Rattus norvegicus: one gene and its partners. The protein of the gene in region 1 binds, or shares a complex with, the protein of each later gene. Links are inferred from orthologs where the notes say so. Each region holds a gene or a part of one and is shown in the gene's direction. Other genes may lie near its edges. The genes, in order: Sumo3, Senp2, Uspl1 and Senp1.

What was found.
Region 2: the proteins of Sumo3 (region 1) and Senp2 are in contact, whole or in part, in a crystal structure (PDB 2IO1), measured with the Homo sapiens proteins. The link is inferred for Rattus norvegicus from reciprocal best matches to the Homo sapiens genes SUMO3 and SENP2. Residues at the interface, in NP_008867.2 of Homo sapiens: Arg55, Arg58, Arg60, Phe61, Asp62, Gly63, Pro65, Asn67, Asp70, Leu75, Asp81, Asp84, Phe86, Gln87, Gln88, Gln89, Thr90, Gly91, Gly92, Val93, Pro94, Glu95; in NP_067640.2 of Homo sapiens: Gln385, Asp386, Phe393, Lys394, Leu395, Arg396, Trp410, Leu411, Asn412, Asp413, Glu414, Ser439, Thr440, Phe441, Pro444, Lys445, Arg456, Trp457, Lys459, His474, Lys476, Val477, His478, Trp479, Met497, Gln499, Gln542, Asn544, Gly545, Ser546.
Region 3: the proteins of Sumo3 (region 1) and Uspl1 are in contact, whole or in part, in a crystal structure (PDB 7ZJU), measured with the Homo sapiens proteins. The link is inferred for Rattus norvegicus from reciprocal best matches to the Homo sapiens genes SUMO3 and USPL1. Residues at the interface, in NP_008867.2 of Homo sapiens: Gln24, Asp25, Gly26, Ser27, Val28, Arg58, Arg60, Gly63, Gln64, Pro65, Ile66, Asn67, Asp70, Leu75, Phe86, Gln87, Gln89, Thr90, Gly91; in NP_005791.3 of Homo sapiens: Ala234, Cys236, Trp237, Pro321, Gln322, Leu323, Arg324, Met330, Glu331, Ser332, Val334, Phe335, Leu339, Tyr368, Thr378, Thr380, His393, Phe394, Gly395, Pro396, Asn398, Arg407, His421, Val423, Tyr451, Asn454, Asn455, His456, Phe457, His493.
Region 4: the proteins of Sumo3 (region 1) and Senp1 are in contact, whole or in part, in a crystal structure (PDB 6NNQ), measured with the Homo sapiens proteins. The link is inferred for Rattus norvegicus from reciprocal best matches to the Homo sapiens genes SUMO3 and SENP1. Residues at the interface, in NP_008867.2 of Homo sapiens: Gln24, Ser53, Arg55, Gln56, Arg58, Arg60, Asp62, Gly63, Pro65, Asn67, Thr69, Asp70, Gln74, Glu76, Asp84, Phe86, Gln87, Gln88, Gln89, Thr90, Gly91, Gly92; in NP_001254523.1 of Homo sapiens: Gln440, Asp441, Glu446, Arg449, Leu450, Thr451, Lys455, Trp465, Leu466, Asn467, Asp468, Glu469, Asn494, Thr495, Phe496, Lys500, Arg511, Trp512, Lys514, Lys515, His529, Gly531, Val532, His533, Trp534, Gln597, Gly600, Ser601, Asp602, Cys603.

What each region holds. Positions count from the first base shown.
Region 1 is NC_086038.1:11,017,349-11,021,730, reverse strand, and holds the start of Sumo3 (small ubiquitin-related modifier 3), read left to right. Parts: upstream 1-1,443; 5' UTR 1,444-1,519; coding exon 1,520-1,540; intron 1,541-4,382. UniProt on the Homo sapiens protein: Ubiquitin-like protein which can be covalently attached to target lysines either as a monomer or as a lysine-linked polymer. Does not seem to be involved in protein degradation and may function as an antagonist of ubiquitin in the degradation process.
Region 2 is NC_086029.1:92,502,017-92,505,698, reverse strand, and holds part of Senp2 (sentrin-specific protease 2), read left to right. Parts: intron 1-290; coding exon 291-385; intron 386-1,066; coding exon 1,067-1,118; intron 1,119-3,682. UniProt on the Homo sapiens protein: Protease that catalyzes two essential functions in the SUMO pathway.
Region 3 is NC_086030.1:10,859,116-10,862,687, reverse strand, and holds the end of Uspl1 (SUMO-specific isopeptidase USPL1), read left to right. Parts: intron 1-888; coding exon 889-2,735; 3' UTR 2,736-2,924; downstream 2,925-3,572. UniProt on the Homo sapiens protein: SUMO-specific isopeptidase involved in protein desumoylation. Specifically binds SUMO proteins with a higher affinity for SUMO2 and SUMO3 which it cleaves more efficiently. Also able to process full-length SUMO proteins to their mature forms.
Region 4 is NC_086025.1:131,097,304-131,101,630, reverse strand, and holds the start of Senp1 (sentrin-specific protease 1), read left to right. Parts: upstream 1-1,394; 5' UTR 1,395-1,499; coding exon of another isoform or gene 1,500-1,527; exon of another isoform or gene 1,528-1,626; 5' UTR 1,627-1,629; coding exon 1,630-1,681; intron 1,682-4,327. UniProt on the Homo sapiens protein: Protease that catalyzes two essential functions in the SUMO pathway.

The sequences.
Region 1 (4,382 bases):
TTTTGTTCAGCTGAGGATGACCATGGTCTGTGTTTGAGGAAAATCCACACTTTGTTCTGGTTGGGGTGAAGGATGACTTCCAAATGAGTCTTTGTGGAAAGACCTTGACAAACTTCCCGAGGAGAGGTTTTGTGTACAGGGGAAGGAGGCTTTAAAGGTTGGGCTCACAGATACTTGGCTTAGTGGCTTTGCAGTGCTACCAAGAAGTAGGGATACTTCTCTGCTGGCCCTCCTTTGGAACAGAAACATAGTTCTGTCAAACAGAGTGCCAGTTCTCTGGAGGCCGCTGTGTGGTTCTGAAACATGGCCACCAACAGCCTCTTGGGACTACTGTGGGTGACTGTGTCAGTCCCAACTGGTGTGTTTTGCAGGTGTTAGCATTTAGACACAGAGGGCCTGTGGACTGCATTCTAAAAGTTCATGACAAGATACAAGGAAAAGACACTCTCGACACCCTAGCTAGCGCTCCCGATGGATCTAGCGGCTTGATGCTCAAGTGTTTCTTTCCCTGCTTACCAAGTTGACTGCTTGGGCATACTATTAAAATTCTAGGTATCTTAGTGTCCTGTGTAAAGTGGGTTATTAACAGCATTCCAGAAACTGGGCAAATAAATGGTAGGTCAAAAGGAAGGCCTTCTGTGCCTGCCACTATCACCTACCCCAGCCACCTAGTGGCTACTTTGGGACTATGTAAGGAGGAAGAAGATAGATAGACAGGGAGAATGAAGAGGAAGAGGCATGTCCCTCTGGGAGCCATGTTGGGAATGTGCTTTGGAGGCTGGTCCACCCCACCCAGGAAGTCAAATGGAAATAGGAGTTATGTGCTGGCTTTCAGGGCCAACAGAAGCCATCCTCTGTGCCCTCAAAGGATGCCTTTTTCAGACATGAGCCCTCGCTGTGACATTCAGATTCAAAGCCAGAGGCCTGTTCTAGGAGTGTGTGGTCCATAAACCATGCCTGGTAACCTCCTTACTGGTCCTCTGGACCACCTGAAAGGGTTAGTCGGACATCCCTGAGTTTCTTCGCCTTCCCTTCCCCAAATGCAGCCTGTATATGAGAAAAGTCCCCAAACGTGGGTGTCGAAGTGGCTGCCGGTTGGACCAAAGCGTTCCTCTGCCTTCTGACTTAGCACTCGTGCCCCCAAGTTCTCCCGTGCCTCCCTACTCCCTGCGTAGCCGCACAGTCTTGCACCCACATCCGGGGGGGGTCTCTGGGCCCAGGGCCACGAGTCGCGCGTCCCCGGGGCCCTGCGCGCGCCCGGGCGCCTGACCCGCCCCGTGACGCATTTGCAACCGTCCGGAATCGCGGCTGGCCAGCGCGCACCCGCGGCGCGGGGCACGCGCCTCGTGCACGCGCCCGACCACGTGACTCCGCGCGGCCAACCGGCGCGCCGGGATTTAGGGATAAAGCGCGGCCCCGCGACAGTTGCGGCGGGAGAGCGGCGGGGCAGAGAGCGTGACTCGCCCGCTCCAGTGCCACCGGTTCCCGCTGCGCTTGCCGCCGCCGTCGCCGCGCAACCATGTCGGAAGAGAAGCCCAAGGTAAGCCCGGTACGCAAGACGCAGCAGATTCCGCGGGACGCAGGCTGGGCCGCGCGCAAACGGGACCCGCGGGACCGCGCCCGGGCCTCCGCGCCCCTCCCCCACTCTACCGCGCCCCTCCCCCACCGGCATCGCACTCCTCCCCGGAGCTTTGCTCTAGCCCCGCCTCCGGCTGTGCCTCCCGCCACGACAAGGCTCCGCCCCCGGACTAGCCCCGCCTCAGATGGAGCCACGCCCACGCCCCCGAGAACCCGGAACTTGGGTGCTGGTTCTTGGTTCACAGGGCTCCCCGTCGGTCCTCACTCCGGACACGGCTGTCTTTTGCATGCCGTGCGCGAGGCGCAGCGGTCGCTGTGAGAGCTGCACCAGTGTGGGAGCAAGGCTGGCCGCTCCGAGCTTCCAATGTTCGCCCGGCCGCATGCCCTCCCACTCCATCGCGGTGGTCTCCGCAATTGGTGCTTGGAAAGGCCGGGTTTGCCCATTCCAAATTGAACAGTTTTTCCAGCCTGCTCTGGTGGGGATAGTTTTATCCAACGGGAGATGAACGTTGGAGCCTGGTATTCTGTGCTCTTGACCGGCCTGGAGATGACCACTTTCTTGGTTCTGATGACAGACCCTAGGACCAGGGCAAGCATCTGGAATGCCGTGGTACCATGCTCAGCAGCCGAGCCCAGAGATCTCATTCCTGCAGGGCCCTTACCTTTAATTTCAGCTCAGCCTTGGGTCCTGCCTGCACCATCCCGGATATTGAATGAGCACAGTTCGTCCTCTGCCAAGAGTAGACACTTACTTTATATTTTGTAGCTGGTAACTGCAACAAGAGTTGTAACCTTTTGATGAGCTAGGCAAGAAGTGAATGCCTGATGTGGCACTGGAAAGACCACGCCTTCTGTCTCTCCAGGTTAGGGGAGGCAGAGGCTTATATTCTTTTTTATATTTTGGTGATGCAGCCCAGGGACTTTTGTACACTAGGCAGATGAGTAACCAGTGAGTTACGACCCTCCCCTCACCCCCAATTACCCCACTCTCTTTTAGATAAGCTTTCTTTGTAGTCCAGGCTGTTTTCAAACTCAAAGAGATCCTCCTGCTTCAGCCTCCCGAATGTTGGGATTAAAAGCGTGTGTCACTAAGGGTGGCCTGCCTTCGTTTGGTTTTGCTGTGTTTTGAGACTGGTTTCCCTGTGTAACTCAAACTGGCCTCCACCTAGACCCAGGAGTGCTGGGGTGATGGCAGTCACTGTGCTAAGCCCTCGTTCTTCTGAGTTTACTTGTTAATTAGAGAACTCCAGACCGGAACCAGGCATCCTGCTATCCAGGAAAGCATGCCTGAGGCCTTTTCACCTTTGTCTCAGTTTTGAGCACACACACACATATCCTTTTGGGATAGAAGTCAGTGCATCTTGGGACCTAGAATTGTTCATGCTTCTGGCTTACAGACCTCACTTTTTCTCATGTGGGATCCCACCCTTTGGGGCAGGTGCCAAGCTCTGTGAGCAGTACTGCTGTGTCACTGGTGTCCTGAACTGAAGTGGGGGGAAGTCTCACACAGGAGGGGATGGGAGAATGGTGCCCCAAGGCGTGTTCTTTCAGGACCCTGTTGGAACCTCTCTCCTGCCGACCATTCCTCAGACTAGAAAGAGCTGTGCTCCTATCCAAGACTGTTAGAACCCAGTGCAGGGCAGGTTGACTGTTCTACCTCTTTCTCCAGGGATAAAAAGTTGCTGAGGACATCCCAGGGAAACAGGGTGCTTCTTGTGGAGCATGTTCTGTGGAACTGTGGGGAAAAAGCTGGCGTGAGGACAGGGAGAAAGCTTGGTCTGCAAGTAGAATAAGGGATCTGTCTCCTTAGAAATAAAAGGTTCTCAGCTGGAGGGATGGCTTAGTGGTTAGGAGCACTGACTGTTCTCCAGGGGACCAGAGTTCAGTTCTCAGCACCCACATGGCAGCTCACTCCTGTCTGTAACACCCCAATCTGACCCTCTCACACAGACACGCATGCAGGCAAAACCCCAATGCATATAAAATATTAGTTAATGGTCCCAAGGCTGCAGACTGCTCAGCAGTTAGGGTCGCAGGTGGCTCTTTCAGAGGACCTGGTTCAAGTCCCAGCTCCCACGTTACTGCTGACAAACATCTGTAACTTCACTCCCGGAGGATCTGGCACCTTCTTCTGGCCTCCTTGGACACTGCCTACGTGTGATTCACAGACAGACGTGCAAGCAAATACTAATATACATGAAAACAATCATAAAGGTTAAAAAGCCCCTGTGAACTCTTATCCATGGTGGCTGAAATGGTGCATCCCGTGGGCCGAGCCTGCTCTGAACAACAGAAAGGAGGTCCTTTTCAGACTGAACAACCCAAGGTTGGCTGTGCGGCCCATAACAAACTTATTGTTCAAAATGTGTTTCCAGGCAGCAAGAAGTGCTGACTCGGCCCTTGTCCAGCAGCTTGTGTGTATCGTGATTATATAAAAACTACTGCCACTCAATACGGTTTTTTCCTCCAGTATGGAGGATGGAACCCGGGGCCCTGAGCACACGTATTCTTTAGAGCTATACGGAGCCCAGAAGAAAGAGCAGAGTCTGAGATCAGAGGGCCTGGGGGGACCTCAGCCTTTACCACCTCCACTGGATTCACTCAGGGTCCCCTAGTGCCCTTCTGGTTCTCCACCCTTGGCTTTATGCTGGCTTTTCTTACCAGTCAAAGAGCCAAGTGTAGCCTGCAGGTATGTGTTTTTACTAGCCTCATAAGTAATTTTTTAAGCTTTGGCTGTCTAGATTTAATGAGCAGATTTTTGTCTTTGAGTTGGTAGTCTGTAAGGACTGGCTTTGCACTGCGGT
Region 2 (3,682 bases), on another chromosome or scaffold:
GTGGAAAAGGAGGTAATGTCTTACCTGGAGAGGTGGGCAGGAACATGCAAGTCCAGCATGTCCGCTCATCTGGTAACTTAGCAACTGATTGTAAGTACACAGACTCCCACACAGCAAGTCGATCACAAGATTGTCTAGCGTACTGAATACAGAAAGAATTGATTATTATTTGGGAATTTTAACTTTAGCCACTATATATCATAGGTTTTGTTGTGGGCTGGGATGGTAATACTTACACTCTAAGGTCTTTTCCTTTGTGTCTGATCTGATCTTCCTCACTTTTGTCTAAGTTCTCAGAGAACGCAGATGGACACATTAAAGACCAAAGGCTGGATGGAAGAACAGAATCATGGAGTCAGAACAACCCATTTGGTTCCCAAACAGTGTGAGTTCCAGACTTAGCTCTTTCTTAAGACTCTGCCTGCGGTTCATGTGAGAGCACGCTACTGAAGTGTGGTATAACAGACCATAAAATATTGTCAGGCTTCTAGACATCGGCTAGCACTTATCTAGTACCTAAAGTTTTATTTTAAAAAAGAAAATTGTTTTAAGATTAAGTTGATTGGGGCTGCAGAGATGGCTCAGTGGTTAAGAGCACTGACTGCTGACCTGAGTTCAAATCCCAGCAACCACATGGTGGCTCACAGCCATCTGTAATGGGATCTGATGCCCTCTTCTGGTGTGTCTGCAGACAGCTACAGTGTACTCACATATATAAGTAAATTATTAAAAAAAAAAAAAGATTAAGTTGATTGCTAAAATACTGTATAGTAGTATATTTTGTGAAATTAAAATTAATTTACTTCCTTATATTAACTTTCTTATATTTCTCCAGTAACTATTCACTGAATGACTTTAGTTTATTAAATGAACTGTTATCAACTGTGCTCAGGATTTAAGGGAGAGAAAGTTACATGTATTTTAGGTGCTTGTATGTGAGGCAGCCAGTGGCTTTTTAACTCACATTAGCATCAGTGCAAACAAATGTGCTGGTACTTAGAATCTGTGTACTGAAATTCTAACCTGTGATTGGTTAGTAAAGGATCTCTTCTTTCCATCCCCACAGATAGAGTTGTTGAAACAAGAGGACCTCTCTGTTCAGTGAGAAGTGAAAAGAGGTACATGGCTCATTTAATTTTAAGATTTCATTTAGAATTAAGTTTTCTCACTTTGCAAATTACATTTATGAATCACCATGAGGCACTGTGAATCTCCTTGGTCTGGTATGTAGTCAGCACTCAGGAGTAGGTGAATAGTTCTTAAGTCAGACCCTTTGAAGCTGCCCCTCATCCCTCAGCCATCGGGGCTTGGGTAAGTAGGTGCTTCTCAAGAGTCTGAGTCTCCAGAGGGCACCGTCTTGGACATAGGAAGGGGGAAGGCCGTCTGCTTTCCCTGGGGAACTTTTGGGTGGTTACAACTTTATAACAGACTTGCCAGCTGTGGCCAAGAGTCCAGATCTGGTTCATCTGACTGTTTGTTGAGGAAACCACAGTGGTAAAGACGTTGTGGATGAAGCTACAAGCACTTGGGTGCTTGGTGTCTCCAGAGTCCAGAAAGGGATTCAGGTTCCCTAAAACTAGAACTAGAGCTGCAGAAGGTTGTGAGCCACCATGTGGATGCTGAGAACTTTGCAAAGTAGCCAGTACTCTTCTGAAAGACGTGTCAGAGATTGAGACCACAGCTAGCTTTGAGACCCATGTAAATCAAATGATGCACTTCTGTGTATTCTGTGGCCCAGGGTAAATAGTTCATCCCAGAGTGACTGATGGGACAGTCAGAAAGGAGCAGTGAGACCAAAGCAAGATCACTGCTGAACAGAGACAACTGCTGTATAAAACCTTAAGATAGGAGCTGACATGTTGTGAGCTTGGCCACCGTTGGCCTTGCATTTGAGGTTCCGTGGACACTCACGCATGGCTTTCCTCCAACTCACCAGAGTCTGCATTGACACTGAGGCTTTATTGTTGCCCTCCCAACTCCCCACAGGAAGGCTGACCCTGTTAAACATTGCCTAGTCTCCAGGCCCTTGGAAATCAGGTGAACACCTCCATGACCCTATAATTCCTACACATTGTATGTCTGCAAAAACAGTAGCACCTAGACAATACTGAGGTCTCTTACGAGCTTGACAAAAGCTGCTGTGGCCTCTGTTTAGGTGGTGATCCACAGGCAGCTTTCTACAAGAAAAGTACTTTGTTCTCAAGGCTCTCTTTAAATGAATTTACAGGGCTGGCAAGATGGCTCAGGTGCTTGCCACCAAGTCTGAAGACCTGAGTTTGATTCCCAGAACTCACCTAGTAGAGAAAACCAACTTCCTGAGGTTGCCCTCTGGTTTATGCTTGTGTATCATAGAACATTTGCTGACCCCTCAGATAAATAAGATTACAGGGAGACAAACAGCGGGTGCTGGGGTCAGTCATGGAACACTGAGCAGGCAGGTTTGTGCTCAAAAGCCATGGTCAGTTCCTTACTCTAGGGAGGAACACCTGAGGTTTCTGCAGGTCAGGGTGCCAGGGCGAGCCCCAGCAGTGCTAGTCTTTAATTGCATCACCTTGTCCACTGCTTTCGGTGTGTTGGCTTCAACTCTCTCTGCTCTGCATTTTTCTTCCCTGTACAGGTGGCTAAAGAGCCTTTCAAGTTCTTTAGTCACTGCTGTTAGTTATTGCTTCCCTACCTCTTTTTCTTCTTAAGGGAATAGGCAGGGTGGGTGTATATGTGTGCATGCATGTGGAAGTCAGAGGTAGAGACAGTAGATGTCTTCCTCAATCTTTTTTTTTTTTTTTTTTTTTTTTTTTTGAGACCTGGTTTCTCACTGAACCTAGAATTGATTTGGCTGAACTGTCTGACCAGCAAGCCCCAGCCCACAGCGTATGCATGTGCTATTGTGAGCAGCTTTTTCATGGATACTGGACCAAGCTCAGTATTTTACCAACTCGTCCACCTCCTCAGCCCCCTTTTCCTGCCCGGTCTTTTGAGACAGGATCTTACTGTGTAAGGCTGACCTCAACTCCTGATCCTCCCTCCTCTGCCCACTGAGTGTAGAGTTTACAGGCATAGACCACCTCTTCCTGCATGCCATCCTCTTTTAAATTGCCCTCAATTTCAGGGAAGATTTTAGGTGGCAAAGAAAATGCAGCCATTCTTACATAGTAGTATCATTGCCCTGTCTGAACCTAACAAGTATAATCCAGTGTCTGCATTTCTCCTCAGTCTGGTCTTGCCAGCACCTGTCAATCTCTCCTACTGCAGCATTGTAGAGTGTCTCTTTGACCTAAATCTGCATTTTTTTTCATATTCTTCCTCAGACTAGTTCCAACATTGCAAGAGCCACAGAGAGGTTGGTCACAGCAGCAAGCCCACTTTTCTAGCATTTGATTTTCATGTTAGTTTCCTTCCACTGCTGCTAAAATGCCTGACACAAATGCTGTAAGGGAGGAAGGGTTTATTTTAGCTCACAGTTTTAGAGAAGTCAGTCTGTCATGCTGAGAAAAGCATTAGAATGACACGCTTTGTTTATGGCAGTTCAGGAAGCAGAGACAGGGCAGTGTCAGGATTCCCAAGGCCAGTTTTGTTTAGAGATTAATAAATCCTAATTTTAAAATTAAAAAAAAAGTTTGAAACAGTTTCATTTAGCCCAGGGTAGACTCAAACTCATTATGTAGCCTTGAACTACTTACTGGTC
Region 3 (3,572 bases), on another chromosome or scaffold:
AGTAGTATTTTAATCTTGTTTTAATTTTTTGTCTTTAAGGGATTAAAAATAAAATCTGTTGGGCCTCAGACCTCTATTTGTCCTGAGTCACTAAACTGACTTTGATGTCCTAACATCAAAGTGATCTGAAGCCCAGCTGCAGAAAGGACTTCTCCTTTCCTAACCTCCCTAGTTCTCAGAATTCTCTCTAATGGAGTCTGTAAGTTTGAAGGGAAAGAGTTTGCTGTGGGTGCAGTTTTGCAGGTGTCTGTAAGAATACTGTAATCCTGTGAGAGTGCTGTGGGTGTGATATCCACTGCTTGCTGCACCCCTGATGTCTAAAATGGGGGCAGAAAATGTTTGTGCAGTGGGCATGAGAATACTGGGCACCATGCTTTCCCAGTCCACCGCATCTGACTCTGTAGATAGAGCTGTCTGTCTGCTCTGCCACAGGTCCCGGGGTAGTTACTAAGAAGCTATTGTTTATCTCAGCTTCTCATGTGGCATAAATAAAGTGTGAGTAAATATAAGGCTCCACCTTCTTCTAATCCCCGTGACTTTTCAGCATCAGGCCATTTTTTTTCCCAGCATGGTTTTTGTTTAATTTTTTTATTGTAACAAAATGGACATAGTATAATTTCTCCGTTTCAACATTTTTTTTTTCCTTTTTCTTTTTTTTTGGAGCTGGGGACCGAACCCAGGGCCTTGAGCTTCCTAGGCAAGCGCTCTACCACTGAGCTAAATCCCCAACCCCGAGCCTGCACCTTTTATAATCAGAAGGAAAGTCTTAGCCTGCGACTGAGGACAGCCTTGCCAGGGCTTCCTTTGTGGTGCTGAGTGACACAGCAGCTGGGAAGGAAGAATGGTGTCAAGAAGGTCTAACCTGTAGCTGTGTTTCTTGTTTCCCAGGGAGTTGGCTGGAGTGTGATGACCTGAAGGGTCCGTGTGCTAAAAGGCATGAGGCCTGTGAAGTGCCAGCATCAGAGACACATATCGTTATTTGGGAAAGAAAATCCCAGGTGCCAGTTGAAGGAGCTGCCTGCCTTCCACACATGAAGCTGCACGTGCAGTCCGTGTCAGGTGAGGAGCAGCCGAGTTCTCTGGCTGGGACCGCCACCTCAGAACCCTCAGTCGCCCATCCTACACCTATGGCAGTTGCTCCTCAGATTCTTCCAGCAACCCAAGCTGTAGCTCATGGAGATAGTGTCCTTTCAGGAACAGGAGGCTTGCTGGACAGCGTTTCACCCTCTGCACTTGAAGAGACTATCCAGGAAACTGCCTCTGTTTCTCAGATTGACTCCAAAGATTGCCTCTTAGAAGACAAACCTGTGGTAGGAAGTGCAGGACCTGTGAGAACACTGACTTTTCAGCCGCAGGACTCCCTGGGGTCTTCCTTGGTGTTGAACCTGTGTGAAGGAATGCTAGTTGCCCCTTGTGTGGATTCCAGGTTCCCATCCCAAGCTGTGAGCACAGGTCTGCAGGCAGTACCGTCTCAGGCAGGGGACACAGTGGTTCCTAAACCTGTGACTGATGCCCCTGTTCCTGTTCTTGTTCAGGAATTGAAGTCCATGGCAACTGAGGACTCTCAGACACAGTTGCTGCCACTGAAAACTGACAGGTTAAACCCTGGACAACCACCAGGTAAAACTCAGGCATCTAATTTGAGAAAAAGAGAAAATGCAGCGTCTTCTAAACCGGTAGCAGCCAGGTCAGCACAGAATCAGCCTCGGAAGGATGAGCAGAAGAAGGCCTTCGTGGGAAGTTGGGTGAAAGGGCTGCTGAGCAGGGGCGGTGCGTTTATGCCACCCTGTGTTTCAGCTCAGAGTAGAGCAGTAACTGACCTGCAGCCCTCCGTGAAAGGAGCCAATAATTTTGATGGCTTTAAAACGAAAAGTATAAACCGCAGGTCTAAAAGGATGTCCAGGAAAGCTAAGCATGTGGAGGAGGCATCTCCAGGTAGCAGCCCTCCACTGTCGGGTAGCACGGCTGCTCTGCCGCAGGCCGCTGGGAATGCCTCCTCAGCCCAGTTGAAGGAGCAGGAAGGCTCACGTTCAGCTCCCCTCAGCCACAGACCTCCCAGTGATGAAAGCGCCATGTCTCCAGCAGGCCGTGCAGAGGCAGCTGAAGATCAGGTTCATAAGCTTCGGCTCAGACTTCTTAAAAAGCTAAAGGCAAAAAAGAAGAAACTAGCGGCCCTCATGTCTTCCCCACGCCGTGAACCGTCTGTAAGCGACCATTCAGAGCCTGCGTCCCACTGTGGGTCTCCGAATGACTGTGACGCAGTAGAAGATCTGCTCAGAGAGCTACAGTACCAGATTGACCTTGCAGACAACAAGTCTGGGTGCACCTCTGCTCCCGACGGCACCTCATGCAACAGCCAGAGTCATGAGGAGATTTTAGCAGAGCTGTTGTCGCCTACAGCCCTGTCAGAGCCCTCAGAAAGTGGAGAGCCTGAGTTGAGGTACTTGGAAATGGGGGACAACAGCACCCCAACACCAGCACCTAGCGAATTCAGTGCTGTTTCCCAGAACACATGTCTGAACCAGGAGCATAATTACTGCAGCCCTGAGAAAAGCCAGTGTGAGGTTGATCTGCATTCAGTCATCGACAGTGCCTGTGTAAGAGCCTTGAACTTGGGGAGTCCCATGAAGACTGACATTTTTGATGATTTTTTTCCTACTTCAGCATTGAATTCGTTAACAAATGACACATTGGACATACCTCATTTCGATGACTCTCTGTTTGAGAATTGCTGAGTGCATGCTAGTGTCGTCGTTTAGTCCTGACCGCTGCTGCTAGGAGGCTGAGCTGTGGGTAGTGCTGGCTGAAGTGCACAGCCTTGTGCTCCAGCCATGGGGAAACTGTGAACTACTGGGGTCTTCCTCTGGTTCTGCCTGTGAGACATGAGATCTCTGCAAATTAAAGTCCTCAGACAAGTTTCTGTCGGTTTCATCTTGTGATTGTGGAAGAATGGTGGGTTCTGACGTTGGTGTATGGGGCCTGGGGAGATGGGTCAAGTGTAAGGATGCCCAGCAAACATGGCCACTGAGTTCCATTCCCAGAACCGTGTAAGATGTGGCAGTGCACACCGGGAGTGCCAGCAGCTTGCTGACCAGGACCAGCCGATCAGCTCCAGCTGCAGTGGAGACTGTCTCACCCAACACTGCCCTGGCCTCTAAACCATGCACATGTACACGCGCGCGCGCACACGCACACTCACAGTACCTTTCAGTATTTAAGACTCGGCCTTCTGTGAGTCAGGTGACAGTGAGTTTACAGATGGGCACATAGGGTGAAGTGTGAGTGATGCACAAGTTAGAAATATTGGGCTAGGCAGCCTCAGGCTCCAAGACAAAGCCACTTGTTCACAAAGGCATCTGCCTCTCTAGTGATAGTTAAACTTGAATTTTAACTATCCAAGTGGTCCGCCTGGTCAGCAACGGTGTATTTAATTATTTATCTCTCACTTACCCCTAAATCCCCCCTCTAATATATCCCCATTATTATGGAAATAATGCATGTTCTAAGGAAGATGTACCGTGTGTCTTGTGTGAGGGTGGGGTCCACCTGTGGGTAACATGCATGCATGTGTG
Region 4 (4,327 bases), on another chromosome or scaffold:
CCCAAATAAATAGATCCATAGAATATTTAAAGTGTCAAAGGTCGACATGGTCTATGTATACTTAATACCACTGGGTTTTAGGGCTTGGCCCTATAAAAATATCAGCATGTAAGGTGATATAAATAATATTTTATATACATAACAAGTATATAAAACCCCTGAACAAACGAGTTTACCTCCTTATGCTTAAGAGTATGGAAAAGGCTGGTAGATTCTAGAGGCTTCCCCTACTTAAAGACCAAATTCAGACAGGCAGTTAAGTGGGTCTAGAACTATTCTGAAGCGCCTTTTCCAAGCTTCTAAATAGGGTCTGGGCCAGAAGCTCGGTAAATAATTTGAACAAGCTAATTTTTCCTCCATTATTCTGTCTTAAAAAGTCTCACATTATTACATGTTTAAGACCTCTGGTGAACCCCATTAGAGATCACTGTTTTAAATTATTCCAGTTATATAAGGTTTGGCGTGTTGTTAAGAGTCTAAGTTAAGATGTTCCCAAAGTTTCTCTTAGTCTCTGTTTCCCCTAGCCCCACTTCTTGTGATCAGTCAAGTGTGACAAGATGCACACTGGTTTTCAAAAGACATAGTTAGAAATCAATTTAGATCTCAAGTCCTCATTTGTCAGGGAAGGCGCAGGTTTCTAAACATCTAGGGCCACAGCGAACAGCTGCCATGGAAACCTGCATGTAAGCCAAAAAAAAGTCAACGAACGGAACCAGGAGACAGCGGGTCAAGGAGCGGAGGGACAGAGAAAAGCAAAGGACGGCGGGCGCACTAACAGTACTCGAAGTGCGACGAAGAGAAAAAACCCCAGTCTGACAGGGTGACAGGAAGATTGAAACTAGAGTCAAACGCTCCCTCAGCTTCTCAGGCCTCGCCACCTCGCGCAGGCGTTCCACGAGCTCTTTGACCTCTTGCCCCACCCCCTTTCCTCCTCGGGCGCCCGCCAAACGGTCTTCCGGTATTGTAAAGACGGTTCCGGTTCACGGAGGTTCCCGGGCTTTGCGGTCCGCGCCCGGCCGGAAACCCCTTTGCCTAGCAGCCGGTTCCGGTTCGGTGAGTGGCGGCGGGAAACTGGGGGAGGGGTGAGGATGGAGGGAGACTGGGCCGGGAGGCTGTGTCGGACCGGGCCCGCTGGCCTCCGCTGGGCTGAGCGGAAGAGAGGACCGCGGTGGGGACCGTGCCCTTTCTTCCGCCCCGCCCCTCGGGACCACCTCCATTCCCCCCTGCTGTCCGGTGGCGGCTGTCTGGCCCGGGTCTGGTAGTTGGGCTTACTGAGGCCGCCCTTTCAGGCCTCCGTCTCCTGACCCGCGGAGAGGCCATCTCCATGCGGTCACAGCAGGGCCTTCTCTGCGCCCAACTCTACTTTCCCAAAGAGAAAAGGCCGGTTGGGATTCCCGGAGTTTCCCGCCAGAGCAGGGTCCTCTGGAAGGAGAGCTGTTTTCAACGAGGAAGTTCAGCTTTCGCTCCCACCTGCTTCACCTCTCTTCCTTGAAACCTGAATGCTGCTTCTCGACTACTGTGTCTCACGTAAACAATTCTCCAACTCTTTTACCCTGTGGTATTTCCCTGGGGTGTGATAGCGCTAGAGCCATCACCAGAGAGAAACGTCTGGACCCTTCTGCACAGGTTATGAGAAACCCCTTAACTGCCACAGTTTTCTTACCTGGCTCATCGCCTCTTGGTAATTGCCTTGAACCTTTTCTTCGTATACCCTAACGTGATCTTTCTGGATATATGCTGGGTTTCCCTTGTCTTGAGCTTGGTGATTTCTGTTTTATCAGTACCTCTACAGTTTTTCTGTTATCTTGTTGGCAATAACTTGCTCCTTTATCACTTTTAAGTCACACTTGTTAAAATTACTTAGATCATGTGGCATACATATTGTATTTGGAGTGATGGTGATTCTTGTAAAATTTTGTGTAGTTCTTTAATAGGCTATCAACTATTCGATGTAGGGTTTTCATTGTAATAGGAAATTCTGGATGAAGTAGAGCATGCCTAAGTGTTCTTCGTAAAGATAGTTTGTATTCGGGACTCTTGCTGAAATGTGGATTACTGCCTTTGAGGTTACAGTGACACCTGTAATAATAACCTGAACCTTCCAGTTAGACTACCTGCCCCCCAGTCCATTTTACAGAGCTTCATAACCTGATTTCAGTTAATTATCCACACCTCGAGAAAGTGGGTGTAGCCTCACTCATCTGGAGAGGGAGTGGATGAGTTTACAAACAGGTTCTGCCACTTGTGGCTAAGGTGAGGGAAGTTTTTTCTTCCACTGACTTCTTCTCCTACCAGTCATGCTAGTTTTGCTGTCTGTGAATACATCTGGCTTCCTCGCCTAGCCTGAAAACTTCTAAAGGGCAAAGGCCAGAGCTTCCTCATGTTTCTATCCCAGAACCCCACACTTAGTGTATGTGTGTAAGCAGTTACTGTTTAGAGGTGTAGAGTATTAAAGTGCTTAAGGTACTAATCCAACTGGGGGAGAGAGTACACATAAAAATACTATGATGAGGACCTGAACAAGTGTGAACTGTATCATAGGTATAGTTGTTTTCCAGAACTCAGAGTAGGGTCACTCACATGCTTACTTCCACTCGGTATCTTGGACCTGCATACAGGTAACTGTACAGGACTGTATTTTCTAGTCACATCATTAGTGCTCTAAACATTCATTTTTATAATCCTCTCTTCCAAAGCATACAGACTTACAAGTAATTTACTACTTTGTATTCTATTGCAGGAGATTTCCCTTTCACTTGGTGTTCAGCTGCTAACTTGATTCACATTAATAAGCAGCTGCTTAGTAACATTCTGTAAGTTAAATGAATGATGAATATTAGGGAGACATTATTAGAATTTTTTATATATATGTATGCGTATATATATTTTGAGACAGGGTTTCTCTGTGTAACCTTGGTTATCTTGAAACTCGCTCAGTAGACCAGGCTGACCTCAAACTCACAAGAGATCCACCTACTTTTGCCTCACACATGGCTGAGGTGAAAGGTGTGTGACTTTACCACCACTGAGCAACAAAGATTTTCTTAAAATAAAAAACTGTCATCCTTGCTTGAATTTGATGACACCTAAGGCTCCTTATTTAGGACTCGTAGAATCTTGATTTTTTTTTTCTTGTTTTTTAAAAATCTCTTCTTCCAACATCATTACTAAAGAAGGTAGAGGAAGCACACCGAAGAAGCAAGGTGTATTTGTAAAAAGGGATGAATAATCATTTACGTATACGAGCCAGACTAGATTACTCAAAGCTAGTTGGAGGTGATTTTTCAATTGCCCAGGTAAATCTTTGAGTGAATTTGTTTGAAGGATGTGAAACTGTGCTAAGCTTGAGTGTGTATTTGTTGAGGAATTCTTGAGTCCTTCCTTTTGCCCCATCTGTGTGATTTTATGCAAGTCAGTTAACTTTTTGAATTATTGAACTTCTAGCTTGTTTTCTCCTTCCACATCTCTAAAGTGAAAAAAAAAAATTAATTGGGATTATTCTACTGGATACCAGATTTTTTTTTTTCCTTCTGAGAGAGTATCTTAAGGGGTTGGGGATTTAGCTCAGTGGTAGAGCACTTGCCTAGCAAGCACAAGGCCCTGGGTTCGGTCCCCAGCTCCAGAAAAAAAAAAAAAAAAAAAAAAAGAGAGAGAGAGAGAGAGAGAGAGAGAGAGAGAGAGAGAGTATCTTGCTATATAATCCAAGTGGCCTCAAACTTGGAATCTTCCTATCTCCCAAGTTGTAGATACTAGACTTTTAAATTGGCATTTTGTTAAAAGATTTATTTATTATGTATGAATACACTGTAGCTGTCTTCATACATACCAGAAGAGGGCATCAGATCTCATATCAGATGGTTGTGAGCCACCATGTGGTTGCTGGGATTTGAACTCAGGACCTCTGGAAGAGCAGTCAGTGCTCCTAACTACTGAGCCATCTCTCCAGCCTGACTTCTTTTTAAGGTATGCAGAATAAACTAGTCACAATCAGAAAGTAACTTTGGTTGTTGGATTTTTTCCCCCACCTTAATCTGGACCCTAAAGAATGCTACCCTAATGCCCTACTGCAGGAGGTAAAGCTCAGTGGTTAAGAGGTGTCCTGCTCTTCGAAGACCTAGGTTCAGCTTCTCTCACACAGAGACTCACAGGCATCCATAGCTCCAGTTCCAGGGGATCTGAAGCCCTTTTTTAACCTCCACAAGCACTAGGTATGCACATGGTACACAGACACACATTTAGGCAAAATTCTCATACACATAAAAAAAGAAATTCTACCCCATTAAGGAAGAAAGGGGAAGAATAGCCTGGAGAAATTCTAGATAGAAGC